3 linked regions of the Kluyveromyces lactis genome follow. The protein of the gene in region 3 interacts with the protein of the main gene of each other region in a pairwise test. Links are inferred from orthologs where the notes say so. Each region holds a gene or a part of one and is shown on either strand. Other genes may lie near its edges.

The links.
Region 1: the proteins of LSM8 (region 3) and NEL1 interact in a two-hybrid assay, tested with the Saccharomyces cerevisiae proteins (2 studies listed by BioGRID). The link is inferred for Kluyveromyces lactis from reciprocal best matches to the Saccharomyces cerevisiae genes LSM8 and NEL1.
Region 2: the proteins of LSM8 (region 3) and PRP4 interact in binary tests that used the Saccharomyces cerevisiae proteins (3 or more experiments, as listed by UniProt). The link is inferred for Kluyveromyces lactis from reciprocal best matches to the Saccharomyces cerevisiae genes LSM8 and PRP4.

Annotation. Positions count from the first base shown.
Region 1 is NC_006039.1:892,554-897,760, forward strand, and holds NEL1 (GTPase-activating protein NEL1), read left to right. Parts: upstream 1-2,468; coding exon 2,469-4,457; downstream 4,458-5,207. Other genes in the region: SUR2 (sphingosine hydroxylase), read right to left, coding at 1-506; MHR1 (mitochondrial 54S ribosomal protein mL67), read right to left, coding at 1,383-2,042; HDA2 (Hda2p), read left to right, coding at 4,803-5,207. UniProt on the Saccharomyces cerevisiae protein: Acts as a GTPase-activating protein (GAP) for SAR1.
Region 2 is NC_006041.1:426,164-430,649, reverse strand, and holds PRP4 (U4/U6-U5 snRNP complex subunit PRP4), read right to left. Parts: upstream 2,373-4,486; coding exon 993-2,372; downstream 1-992. Other genes in the region: HDA3 (Hda3p), read left to right, coding at 1-936; Rab geranylgeranyltransferase BET2, read left to right, coding at 2,580-3,554; DPB2 (DNA polymerase epsilon noncatalytic subunit), read right to left, coding at 3,632-4,486. UniProt on the Saccharomyces cerevisiae protein: Involved in RNA splicing. Is required for the association of U4/U6 snRNP with U5 snRNP in an early step of spliceosome assembly.
Region 3 is NC_006041.1:1,466,565-1,470,143, reverse strand, and holds LSM8 (U4/U6-U5 snRNP complex subunit LSM8), read left to right. Parts: upstream 1-2,095; coding exon 2,096-2,386; downstream 2,387-3,579. Other genes in the region: TDA10 (putative ATP-dependent kinase), read left to right, coding at 185-1,057; methylthioribulose 1-phosphate dehydratase MDE1, read right to left, coding at 2,425-3,042; KLLA0_E16413g (uncharacterized protein), read left to right, coding at 3,279-3,579. UniProt on the Saccharomyces cerevisiae protein: Component of the nuclear LSM2-LSM8 complex, which is involved in spliceosome assembly. The LSM2-LSM8 complex plays a role in the biogenesis of the spliceosomal U4/U6-U5 tri-snRNP complex by accelerating PRP24-mediated annealing of U4/U6 di-snRNA.

The sequences.
Region 1 (5,207 bases), on a different chromosome or scaffold from region 3:
GAATCTACGATACAAAACCCAATAAATATCCTTATCATAGACCATCCATAGCAATACATAAACTTGATGAAAACAGATGGTACGAAAAAGGGTAAAGATTGCCTCCATTTCCACATCTCATACTTCTCAAACCCTGAAGTCGGCACAGGATCCAAGTAGAGCATACCAAGTCCAGTAAATGTTTGAATGAAATGTTGTAATATCACCTCTTTTAAAACCTCTAATCTTGAGGCCTTATTCCGCTGTTGTACTTCCTCGCTTGGATGAATCCTGTACTGTTCGAAAACCTCATTGGTATCAATGTAATGGAAAAACATCGAATAAAGCCAATAAGCAACAACAGGTAGTGCTAAGGCAAGTTTCCCATCAGAAATCCAAGGCAAAATATCCTGTTTCTTCGTTATCACAGAAGCAGGTGGAGCTTTAGAATTCATAAACGACACATCCATAGCATCTTTCACCTGCAAATACAAGTGCTGCACTGCACTTTCAACAATATTTGCCATAGTTATAAAACCGATACAGCACACGCAAAATATTGTATCTCCTTATCCTCGAACTGTATCCGACAGAAAACAGCTCCTCTCAAGTATAAATGGACTTATAAGTTTTGTATGACACTGCAAATATCAGTTTGTGTATCTGATTTCGTATCTTGCTTCGTATTTTATATAGTTGCTGTCTCTCTTCAGTATGATCAAAAAAAAAGAAACAGTAACTCCAGAATAACTTTTTACCTAATCTCAAGCCTTACCCTTTCAATATTATTGCAGCCTTCTTCGCTTGGTATGCCAACATTAGCCTATACGCTTCGTATAAATACAACCACTGATCTTATAACGCAATACATTTATAACGCAATTCTGTATTCTCGACACCATGTTATGCTAGAAAAACTAAGAAAAACCCGAAGCCTCTAAGGGAAAACAGGATTGTCGTTAAAGAAACACCAGAGAAAACCAGAGAAACGGTGTTAAGGTTTCTCAAATTTGGTCATGTGACATTTTTTTTGCTTTTTCTTTGGTGTCCGGGTTCCTGCTTCTTCTTCCGTTAGGCGTTAATGCATGCATGAGACACATATGGTATGAAGCGGTAGAAAAGTAGAGGAAGTAATATGATGATTACAGAACCTTTGATATTTAGGTTACGTGATGATGGAAACAAGGGAGAAAACTGCTAGTAATCACCTTGTCAAATCAGTTAAACGCCGGTAGTGAGCTGAGGGTTTGTTTATATTATTTACAGAGTCGGATTGTCTGCGGGTTATATATGTACATGTAGTGATTTCTTAAAGACGTGACGAGTGAAGCAGTGAAAGATCTGAGCTCGGCTCAGCTTTTGCAACTGGAAATAGTTTGTATTTGCTTGTTTTCTTTTGTAACTCATAGAGAGATGTTTTGAGCAGCTGACTCCTGTTGTCTCACTCTTGCGAACTCTTCTTTGGCTCTTTCGCCTAGTTCTTTCAAAATTGCACTTTCCTCTCTGGAAACGTTCCCCAAACGTTCTAGTGTTGTGTGATTCAACTCTGGCAATACTGGGTTCCAGTATTTCTCTTTATCCCCCATTCTCCATTCGTCTTCCCAATGGACCTTAATGGACGATTGGACGTCTTTCAACTTTAGGAGACATTCTCGCAAATCGGCAACCGCTTCTTGAGAGTATGTTGGTCTGTATTGCGATGAGTACCATGTGTGGCCGGACTCATTCTTCTTTCTCATGTCTTTTGCCTGTTTACTGAATGTCACATCACGGAGATATCTTAATCTGCACAAATTCTGGTATACTTTTACACTCTTGTCGTAGTCTGGTAGATCAACAACAGCCATACATTTCCAAATATCACGTCTGGTGCTTGGTTTCTTATTCTCCCAGTTGGGTCTTTGGAAATTGGTATCAATTTGCTTCCAAGAAAAAGTCGGGAATTGAGAGTACAGCACTTGTCCACTCTCTAGGTTTCTGAATAAAAAGACTTGTGGTGCATACCCTGCTTTCTGTAGCCAGTTGGCTGGACGGAACTTGGTAATAGCTAAATGCTTGCTCATCTCTTCCTAGTGCCCTATGGTGTCTTCAAGCCTTATTTGTTAACAACAAAAGCCTTGATCCTCAGAGTTCTCTTCTATCTCCAGTGCTATTGATGGACTTCTGAAGAGTTATTTAAATACAATGTGTGCACAAATGTGGTGATCTCTTCTGTAATCAAGCTAAACTAACTATCAGCTTTCTCTTTTTCAAAATTTTTCAGCTTTTTCAGATGCCATAAACAACTTCGTAGAAACACTGAAAATTAAAGAGAATGAACCTAATATATACATTACCCGGATCTTGTGATGATATTGAATTCTCCGCTACCTGCTCTATCTTATCTTGGATCTCATCTCCAGAGAAAGGTTTTCCTATCAGCAGACACGCACAGTAGAGTTATCACCTTCATCCGTCAAGTGTCCGCATATTCCACCATCTAGAACTTGATGTTTGAATTGAATTATGGAGCCGTTCCTACGTCCCGGACAGATTGCTTAGCTAGAGTTCTCGATTGTGGAGATGATAACCGTGGATCGATAAGTGCCATTTGTGAGCCGGACTTGACAATTGACGGGAATTCAAGCCTAGCAAGCAGTGAGAATTATACCAATTGTAAAATCTGTGGAGGGTTTGCGAATTTTTTATGTTCAAGAGATTCACGAGCTGGGTGGTTTTGTTCTTTTTGTAATGCTTATAATGAACTAGGGAATATTCCATTATCATCGTCATACCTAAAACATTTAGGAACTGCTGCTGTGCCTACGCATTCCAAGTTCGCCATAATCATCGATCTTAATTGTGAATTTGAGGAAAATCTAGACGCGTTGAAGATGTTACAATTTGGTTCTGTCCAGTCATTGGCCCTGATCACGATTGAAGATGGGTCTGTCACTATTCATACTGACGGGTCACACATTACCGTAGATGCAGAATCTAGTAGTTGTATCAGCCATCTTAAGAAGCTTGACACAGAATGGTTCATTGCAAAGTATGGGCTTTTAGTGAGGAAGATTTGGACGGACCAAATATCTTTCGGTGCTAAACTCGCGGAACTTCTATGTCAACGGACTAGGTCAAAAAAAAGATGTAGAAGAAACACTGCACTCGCTATTTTTCTAGCACAATGTCTAAACCCATCACAATCCATTGCATTTGTTTTCGGACCCTGTACAGTAGCACCAGGTAAGGTTATCTCAATGGACCGAAAAAATCATATCAGGCAGCATAGAAATATAGAGGAAGACAAGGATGTGAAATATTGGAAACCTTCTAGAGAATTTTACAATAAAATGAGTAAGTCCTTAAAGTTTGCTCCATGCACGGTATTCGTCGCATCCATGGATCAGGTCGGAATATGGGAGATGAGATCCTGTTTGAACAACTTTATTCAATACGAATCCTTCAATGATAGAAATTTCATATATGATTGGCAGGCGTATATTCAAGGGAAAGGATGTTATGAAATAACCAGAATTGTTATCAAAACTTCTAACAAGCTATTACTGAATGGGATCTTTGGTCCAGTCTCATCCTTGAAAGACAAGGACACACATGTATCTGACACTCCAAAGGGCTTTGGAGGGTCTGGAACCTTCCGTTACAAAGGGCCAAGTAGTAATCTACCATCAATTTTGATAAGTTTATCTGTTGATACATCTCGCAGCGCTGCTGAAGCCTTGCAAGAAATGCCAGATAAATTTTCCTTTCAAATGGAATGCTACTATAAACACTTGAATCAAGAATACGTTTCTGTAGAAACGAAATTTATTCCCAGTACAACCTTACCAGGTGAACATCTTTTAACCCAAAATTTCCACTGGGATATAATGGCTGGATCCATAATGAAAAAAATATCTTTCGCTGTCTTGTTTCAAGGCAAGTTTTATGATTACGATCTAAGGTGGTGGACGTTAGAAATAGTAAAACTTCTTAAATCATTGAATGCCATCGATGTTCCTGGCATTAAATCCTTACAAGAAGTAACGTACTTTATGCAAAGATCAACTCTCTTAAGGAAGAGAAATACATCGCCTGACGAGTGGATCGTCTACCATTGGACAATTCTGAATTCCCCTTTAAGTCATATATTCAAGATGGTTAGACCCCAAGTGTATTCGACCACAGGGCTTATTCAAAATACAACTGACATCCTTAATTATGCCGAACCTTTATTGGTAGATGGTGGTAACGTCCTTGTGGTACGAGATACTTCAGTAGGAGATAGCAGAGTTGACAGTTTGAAGGCAGCTGCTGATACCATATACCACGATGGAAGTCGATTTCCAAAGCCTTGGTATCGAGAAACCAAGCCAGGTGCTAGTCAGGATAGATTTGTAATTGCACGACTAGGCTTAACTGCAGAACATTCTTTGCATTCTGATGACCTCACGCTTGATAAATACATGGCACTGTTTAAATCAAAAAGTACTGCATGAAAAGTATGTAATCATTCATTTTACCTCTCAACAGATATCATGAACTCTATATATATATAACCAAAACCAAAAGGTTAGAATAGTTCCCCATTTACTGTCGCAACCTTCGAATCTATCGCTCCCCCTTTGAATAACAATTGTATGGCAGGAAAAGATACTATGTACGTATTCCTTGGTTTCTCCATCTGTCGCTTTTCAAAAATGACATATTTCATTTTTTAAAAGATACTATATAATTAAATCTAACCATTCTTTCCGAATAGCACATTAAAAGCCAGAGTCCAGAGGAAAAGAAAGAGAAACTGCAAGCGCGAGCCATTGGGTCGTTTCATTAGGGAAAGAAAGATGAACTCCACTTCCAACCGGACTCAGGTATTTTATATACCTGTTGGCCTAACTCAAGTTCAGAAAGATTTGTTGGAAATTTTAATCTCGATACATGCAGAGTCGTTTGTCTCATGTGTAGATAAACGTCTACTGCCAGAACTACAATCTAAATTAGAAAAAAAAGGGACAAATCTCAAAAGAGACTTGAGTATGACTGCATTAACAGATGTTCAGTTAACTGAATGGTTCTTCGAAAATATAAGAGCTGTCTCGAATCACCCTTGCCTGTTAGTTGAGCATTATATGCCTAGACAGTTTTTGTTAATGGAACCAACTGAAAGGTTGATATACACCAGCGATAAATTTGGCAAGTTAAATCTAATGGTTGATCTTTTATTGAATCGTAAGGACAAATCGAGGCCA
Region 2 (4,486 bases), about 1.0 Mb from region 3:
TTATTGACAGAAGTAACTTATAGCCAGACAGGTAATGATTTAAAAGAACAGTTCATCAATGACAGAAAGCGCAGGAATAGGGGCCATTCGAAAGAAAGGTCTTCCTTATTGTATTATAAATCTAAAAGAGTTAAAAACGACTATTCCACCAATCCATTAAAACAAGATATGGCAGTTCTTACATGGGTATCAGCATCTGGCCGGCAAAACGGCGAAATTGATTATCATTTAGCCACTGATATCCTGACTCATAAAATGATCCAGTCCATTGAAAATATCTACGCTATGAATCAGAGACAAAAGTTGGAATTAGATGATTTTGAAAGAATGGAATCTATTCAAAATCATCATTTCAACAAGGTCAATAAGGATTATAATGATATTAAGGAAAAGCTTGAAGAATCCGAAAAGAAGCTAAAAGATGATGACGTTAAGGTAAAAGATTTCCTTGAGGAATCAGAAAAGAAGCACAAACAGATTGAATTCATAGATTCAGAAATTAATGATTTAATGACAAAATTAGGGTCTAAAAGCGAACCACATAAGGTTTTGAAGGGTTTACTAGAAGAAATTTCAAACTTGCAAGATGCCCGCGAGAGAGAAAAACGAAATTCGGAGTCTAAATCTTCTGAGAGAACATACATGCAAAAGGAGATAGAAAGAGCCGCTCAATCTGTTGATGAAAGCAACAAAGAACAAGATAAATTAAGAGAAGAAATCAAGCTCTTGAAAACGAAAATAGAGGACAGTGTAGCCGAAAATAAAAAGAAGGTTGCCAGTGCTGAACAGAGAATAGATCTCTTGAAATCACAACTACAACAGGAAGGGCAAAATCTTGGAGGGCTTCATTCTAAACTTGGATATATAACTGATAGACTATCGAAAATTCAACCCAGCAGAGGAAGACAGGCGACTAATGGCCGATCGAAGAAATGATACGTAATTTTAACATCCATAATGATTAACGTTTTTACAAATTTGCGTAGAATTAATTAGACTCCCCATTTGTTAACTGAGCGGTCCCAACCCGCGCTATATATATCAGGACCTACAATATCAATTGACATAACCTTATCAAGATGCCCTTCAAGGCTTCGTTCCTTTATCCAGTTCCCATCATTGAAGATATTTACTTTCTTGTCATATCCACTCGACACTAAATATCCTCCGTTTTGCTTATTGAATTTGACTTGTGAAACAATGCTATTGTGAGCTAAGATCGTTTCCACATTTCCCTTTTTCCTAATATCCCAAACCTTTATAGTCCCGTCACCACTACCAGACGCAAGCTGATATCCATTTTGGGACCAGTCAACGGAATAAATAGGTTTTGAGTGTCCCTGTAATGACATGATATTTTTACCGGACCGTATGTCCCATATTAATGCAATTGCATCCAAACCAGCTGTACTCACCAATGAGCCATCATTGTGAAAAGATAGTGAGAAAACCTCCGCAGAATGACCTTCCTGAATCAAAATAGGGGCTTGTTTCACAGTATCTATCAGGATCCATGTTTTGTCAAAAGACGTACTTCCAATAAAACTATTACATGGATGGCATCGTACTTGGGCAAACCTGGCATCATTTTTATACAAGATCTTAACTGTGGTTTCATCACCACTATCATATATTACAATGCGTCCATCATGGGTACAGACAAAAATGTTTTTAGAGTCCACGCTCCAATCCAATCCACTAATCTTTGTGCCAGATAAAGATCTATTGCAGTAGATTTTGGACAACGAATTATCGACCAGAGACAAATTTCCGGACCAACTGCCACAAGCCATCAGGTCTCCACCAGGAGAAGTATTAATTTCAGAAATAGGTTTCTCATCTATCACCTGCATTCCCTTCAAAGAGAACTGTTTCAATTTACTTTCCAGGTCCCTTCGCTTACTTATGACGTTTTTCACATTTTGGCTGACAAGTCTTCGTCTCTCCTCCTCAAGCCTCAGCTTAGAGCGTTGCATAGAGTATATTATAAGAAACTTCCTCATTTCTATCAACTGCTGTGATGCTGGAGTGTAGAACTCCTCGTCTTCATCATCTACTTTACTTCTTTCAGTATCGATTTTCGTCTGGTCTTTGGAAGTTGACTCTACTAACCTTGTAACTCGTTCTCTGGCTTTTGGATCGCTAAGAATAAGATCAGAAAGTCGATCTCTGCGAGAATAATTATCTTCGCCAGCGATATCAACGGGCTCTCCCACTAGCTCTAGTGCTCGTCTAACGTCTGTATCTAGAGTAGGCACAATTTTGAGCCTTTCTTGCCTTTGGAATTCCAATCTTTTCAGAGCATCTCCGACTGATTGCCCATCCTGGTTTTTGTAGTCAACATCTACCTGCAAATCATCTAATTCTACCATTAGAAGTTACTGCAGATAGTCCAAAGGTGAGTTGTTACCGGTGCCACTTTTTTGATTTCATCTCTTTATCATCTCACTTCTTTAAAAGCATATTCATAAAATGAACTTTATCGTTATTCCTGAATATGAATAGTTCAAAAGTTGGAAAACAAGTGAGGTACTCCATCGAGTAAAAAGGGTCTGAAGCTAGGCGTCGATCGAACGATCATGAGTGAACAGCAGTTGTTAAGAGATAAACACATTGATTATATTGCGTCTTTAGATACTAAGAAAGATGATCTAGAGTACTGGCTCTCAGAACATCTAAGGTTGAATGGGGTATACTGGGGATTGACAGCCCTCTATCTCCTTGATTCTATCGAAACATTCAATAAGGAGGATGTAATACAGTTTGTCCTAAGCTGTTGGGATCATAAAACTGGTGGGTTTGCTGCGTTTCCAAGACATGATGGTCATCTATTAACGACTCTTTCAGGGCTTCAGATTTTGGCTACTTACAACGCTTTAGAGCGCTTGGGTTCAGAGAAGCAAGAACAATTGGAAAAATTTATCCTATCCAATCAAAAAGCAGACGGCTCATTCCAAGGTGATAGTTTTGGTGAAGTCGACACACGTTTCGTATATACTGCATTGAGCTGTTTGTCCATTTTACACAAATTGACGAAAGAAGTTGTAGAACCAGCAGTTTCGTATATCCTTAGATGTTACAATTTCGATGGCGGATTTGGCTTAAATCCTGAAGCAGAATCTCATGCTGCTCAGGCATTTACTTGCATTGCTGCTTTAGCAATCGTCGGAAAATTAGACTCTTTAACTCCAGCTCAGCAGGAGAATATTGCTGTTTGGCTCTCAGAAAGACAAGTTCCAGAGGGGGGCTTAAATGGTAGGCCAAGCAAACTGCCCGATGTATGCTATAGCTGGTGGGTATTATCAACACTTTCAATACTCCAAAAAGCTGATTGGATTGATTTTCCCAAGCTAACGGAGTTCATTTTGCATTGTCAGGATCCCAAAAATGGAGGGATTAGTGACAGACCAGACAACGAAGTCGACGTATTTCACACGGTTTTTGGTCTAGGAGGATTAAGTATAATGAAGTATCCAGGATTAAGAGATATTGATCCAGTATACTGTATGCCATATACGGTGACGAAATATTTCCAACGCAAGTACTCAGATTAGTGTCTTAGAAACTTAAATAAATTATGAATGCTAACGACCGCAAAAAGTAGGTCCACAAGTAGTTTAATATTGATAAATTAAAATGGTAGCTCTTCCTCTACTAGAACCTTAGAAGCAGGGAAGAATTCTATATATTTGGCAGCTCTTTTGTGAATAAATCTACCGGGGTTGATCGTTTTGCATCCGTTGTACGTTACATCGAAAGCTGGTGCGCTAGTGTCACACAGCATGATACTCGATGGAAGCGGTGATAGCTGCAATGTGAAATCAAGATCCCAAACAGTTGGTCGAATTCTTGATGAAAACGGAGATAGATGTTGTTGATCGAGCAATGTTTTCACCAATTTCCTCGATTCTAAAACACTTACAGGCAAATTATTCTTGAATGCGATTAACTGGCCTACTGAAACATCCGGGTTTCTTGAATATTGCTCTTGAAGTTCTGCATTTTCCAGATATTTCTCCTCTTCCACAGTAGGGAAAACAATATTGTATCTTTTAAATCTATTTGCTAAATCATCGCGTGTCAGAACAATCTCTTGTGATAGATATGCAATTCTTAATGGGTTAGAGCCCCAATGCACTTTTCTACAAATTCTACTCATTTTTTGAGTAAATGATGATGGAATTATTTTTTGGGGCCACATAGTAGTAGTACCTAGTCCAACCATTGATGTCCACGGATCATTTGGACCTGGAATAAAAATCATATGTGTATCGTTGATCAAATTTTCGTAATTGCTTAGGAGAGTAGCCAACGCATCGAAGTTGTTTTTATACGAAACGGTTGCACTCACATTCTTTGCGTTCAAGCTTGGATGAACCGGGACGGATACAAAAGAACCATTAAACACGATCGCTACTGGAGGATCCGTTGTTAACTTGTCAAATGTTTTCTTTAGTCCATCCATTGTAGTCATTTCATCCAAATA
Region 3 (3,579 bases):
TCATGAGAGTCATCAAACCTTTAAAGGTATGAATTGATTATCGCCGAAATTCTTGCCTAAGAGAACAATTTGAAGACGAAACCTTTAAAGGCAAACACAGCTACCGGCAAGATCTGCAACCATTGGAGACTGAAACCACCGTATGGTATTGGATTGCTGGGTTTGAAGAGAGATTGCAATAGAAATGAACGTTGCAGAGTTAAGCGTGGAGTTTGTTGAACAGAAATTGGAACAACGGAAAGTTCAAGGTGACAGGAAAGGTCCTTTGTTTGTGTTGGTTTCCGGGCCACAAGGGTCTGGTAAGTCGTATAATAGTGAGATATTGTTTCGTTCGTTGAAGAAGAAGGGCGTGAGAGCAGCATTGACATCCATTGACGATTTTTATCTGACCCATGAGGACCAATTGAAGTTACAGTCAGCATTCCCAGAGAATAAATTACTACATGGAAGGGGGTTACCGGGCACTCATGACTTGAAAGCATTGCAAGAGACATTGAAAGAGCTTGCAAATGATGAAGACAAAGTGCATGATGGTAAAAAGATCCAGTTGCCCGTATATGACAAGTCTAGATTTAACGGAGAAGGAGACAGGATTGGCAGTATTGATATTGAATTGCCATTGGACTGTGTGATCATCGAGGGATGGTTCCTTGGGTTCCAAGCCATTACAGAAACAGAATTGGAAAGGAAAAATTCGTCACCTATACTGTTGAACCACCAGTTGTTACATCTGAAACAAGTGAACCGTTCGTTGAAAGAGTACGGACAATTGCTATGGAATAATGAGTCATTGGATACTGTCGGTATCAAGTTCGCAACTGACGACACCAACAATGTATATAGGTGGAGGTTACAACAAGAGCATGCTATGCTAGCATCTCAGGGCGAAGGAATGACTGATGCGCAAGTGAAGGCGTTTGTTGATAGATATATGCCTTGTTATGAACTATATTATAAAAACTTCATTGACCCGAACACCGCGTTCGGCAAAACAAATCTTACCATTGCCATCGATGCCGACAGAAATGTGGTCAATCATTTCATTTCGCACTCTTGAACTTCTTCCCAGGGGATTAATACCCTGAGTCGTTGTGTCTGGTTTTGATTTAGGTGTTGAGATTCAGGCGTAGCGATAGATTCATGTCTCAATCTTTTCTCAAGCAACGCCTGCCTCTTGCTAGCTAACCTCATATCTTCATGCAACGTCTGGATGGCATCCGTGAGGTCTTGCATTTGTTGCACGACATTGAACATGACATTTTCATTCATGGTAAATCTGTCCATCCATTCTCGATGTCGTTTATCCATCTGCTTCGTAATATTATCCGCTAAAAGTTGCAAACTTTCACCGCTTGATGCCTTTAATTGATCCAAACGAGACTTTACTTCAGAGACAATCTCCGTTCCCGTTTCTTGATTACCATCTAAATACACACAGAAATAACGGCGACTTCTCGGAGTCTCATCCGTTATTTTCCTAGTTAGTAAAAACTGACCGTAGTGACTCTTACAAAGAATCATTCCTAAAGGGTATCAATCAACGACCAATCCACGTAGATAGAACTAAGTAAATGCCCTTATACTAAGTAGATATTCCTTTCATTGTGCATAGAAACCATACCTTTTCTACTGTCAAGTTCTGCTTGGAATAACTTTCGCGAATGGCTCAATTCATCCACGTTCTCCTTGATAATCTTGAATAGACTCTCAGACGTGTCCCGCAACTGCACAGTCTCCAACTCTAGACGACTAGTCCATTCTAAGATCTGTTTGTCGGCGTCTGGAATCTTTTTAAAGGGAGAAGACCCGTAATCGGTCTCACTTTCATTCTCTTCCGCCATTTCAACCGTGATTCGGAGCTTCTAACAATATTAGCCACAACACAACTCTAGATAACTGCTGTAGAAGCCTGTATACTTCTGTTATGATGTGTGATTCTTCTTTGTTGAAGATGTTGTTGTTATTGATAATAGAGAATCTTCAAATAGAAAACATTACTTTCAAATTATAATAGTAACGAAGAAAAGATAACGATCCATCGGAGCGAAGATATCCACATAACTGCCCCCTTGTTTGCTAGAACAGTGAATGGACAATGAGTGCTCTATTGAAAGATTATTTGGACAAGAAGGTGATGTTGGTCAATGTCGATGGAGACACATACTATGGTGAAATGAAAGGGTTTGATCATGCGGGAAACATGATTCTTTTAAAGGACAGCAAGATATGCATTATACGGAGTAGTGAAGTGGTATTATGTGGGCTGATAGATGATATACCAGAAGAAAAAGAACTGGCAAAACTTCAGAAGTTCCCAGCGTGTAAGAATAAGTTACCGTTTAAAGAAGAAATAGACATTTGGAGTGAGCGATGGGCTAACAGATGAAATATAAATAATGTTATACACAGCTGCTGGTCTCCCTTTCATTGACCGAGTTCTTTCATTTTGAGAGCTACTTCAAAGAGGTAATCGATGGACTCGATGTATATCTTGGCTTTCTTTGGCGTGGGGCCCCAAACGAAGAGTCCATGTCTTTTCACCAGTACCGCACATGCATTTGGATAATCCTTAATCATTTGCTTCAACGCTGGCATGAGATCCTGTTCTTCTGGAGCGTTATCGATGATTGGAATACGTAGGGTATCAACGTTCCTCAAATTGGTACCGTCACCTTTGGGTATCGCCTTGATTTGTTCAATGTCCTTGATGGTAAACTCCTTCTCATATATCATTGAACAAAGCACCGCATTGATAGAGTGCGTGTGTATGACGCACGAGGCACCCAGCGTCTTGAATAGCTCCAGGAATAACGGTGTGCACGCAGAGGGTTTCAATCCAGGCGCACCACATTGATAAGTATCGTCCTGTATATTGTATTTAACAATTTGTTCAGGTTCCAACAGTTCTTTCTCAATGCCACTTGGTGATATGTATGCGATGTTGTCCTGTTTAATGCCGATACCACCACCTGTACCGAGCACCCATTTGTTCACGTAGAACAATTGACACATGGAACATATTGTTTCACTGGTATCGCTCATTGTGTGTCGCTACATGTGGCATTATGTGTCTAATTGAAATTAATATCAACCATAGAATGAAGTTAAATGAATGAATCAAGTTTTAAATATTGTTTGCAACAAACTGATGAACAGAGGGTACAGAGAGAGTATATCAGACGACTTCAATAGTATCATAGCAGGTTGAGTAGCCTTCGGTGAGATCAGATTGTATAGTTGGAGATTATTCGCCACCATCACCAGGCAAATCATAAGTAATGGATTCAAAGTTAAGGAAAGTGGTATTATACCATGGAGTTGAATCGTCGGAGAAATGGCCCAAGGGGAGGAAGAAGCTAACTTTGCCCAGCCTTCAGTTGCTGCCGGATACAGACACTGCTGAATTGCAGCAAGTAATACAGTTTAATAGCGATATCGAGGAATTGATACGGCAACGACAAGAGAGCAAAGAGACGTTCGATAAATGGTACCAGGAGACGTATCTTGCATCGAAACCAAAGGGACTACTCGAACATTTGGCACCAAAGAGACGAGACATGAGGAAACTTGGGACCCCTG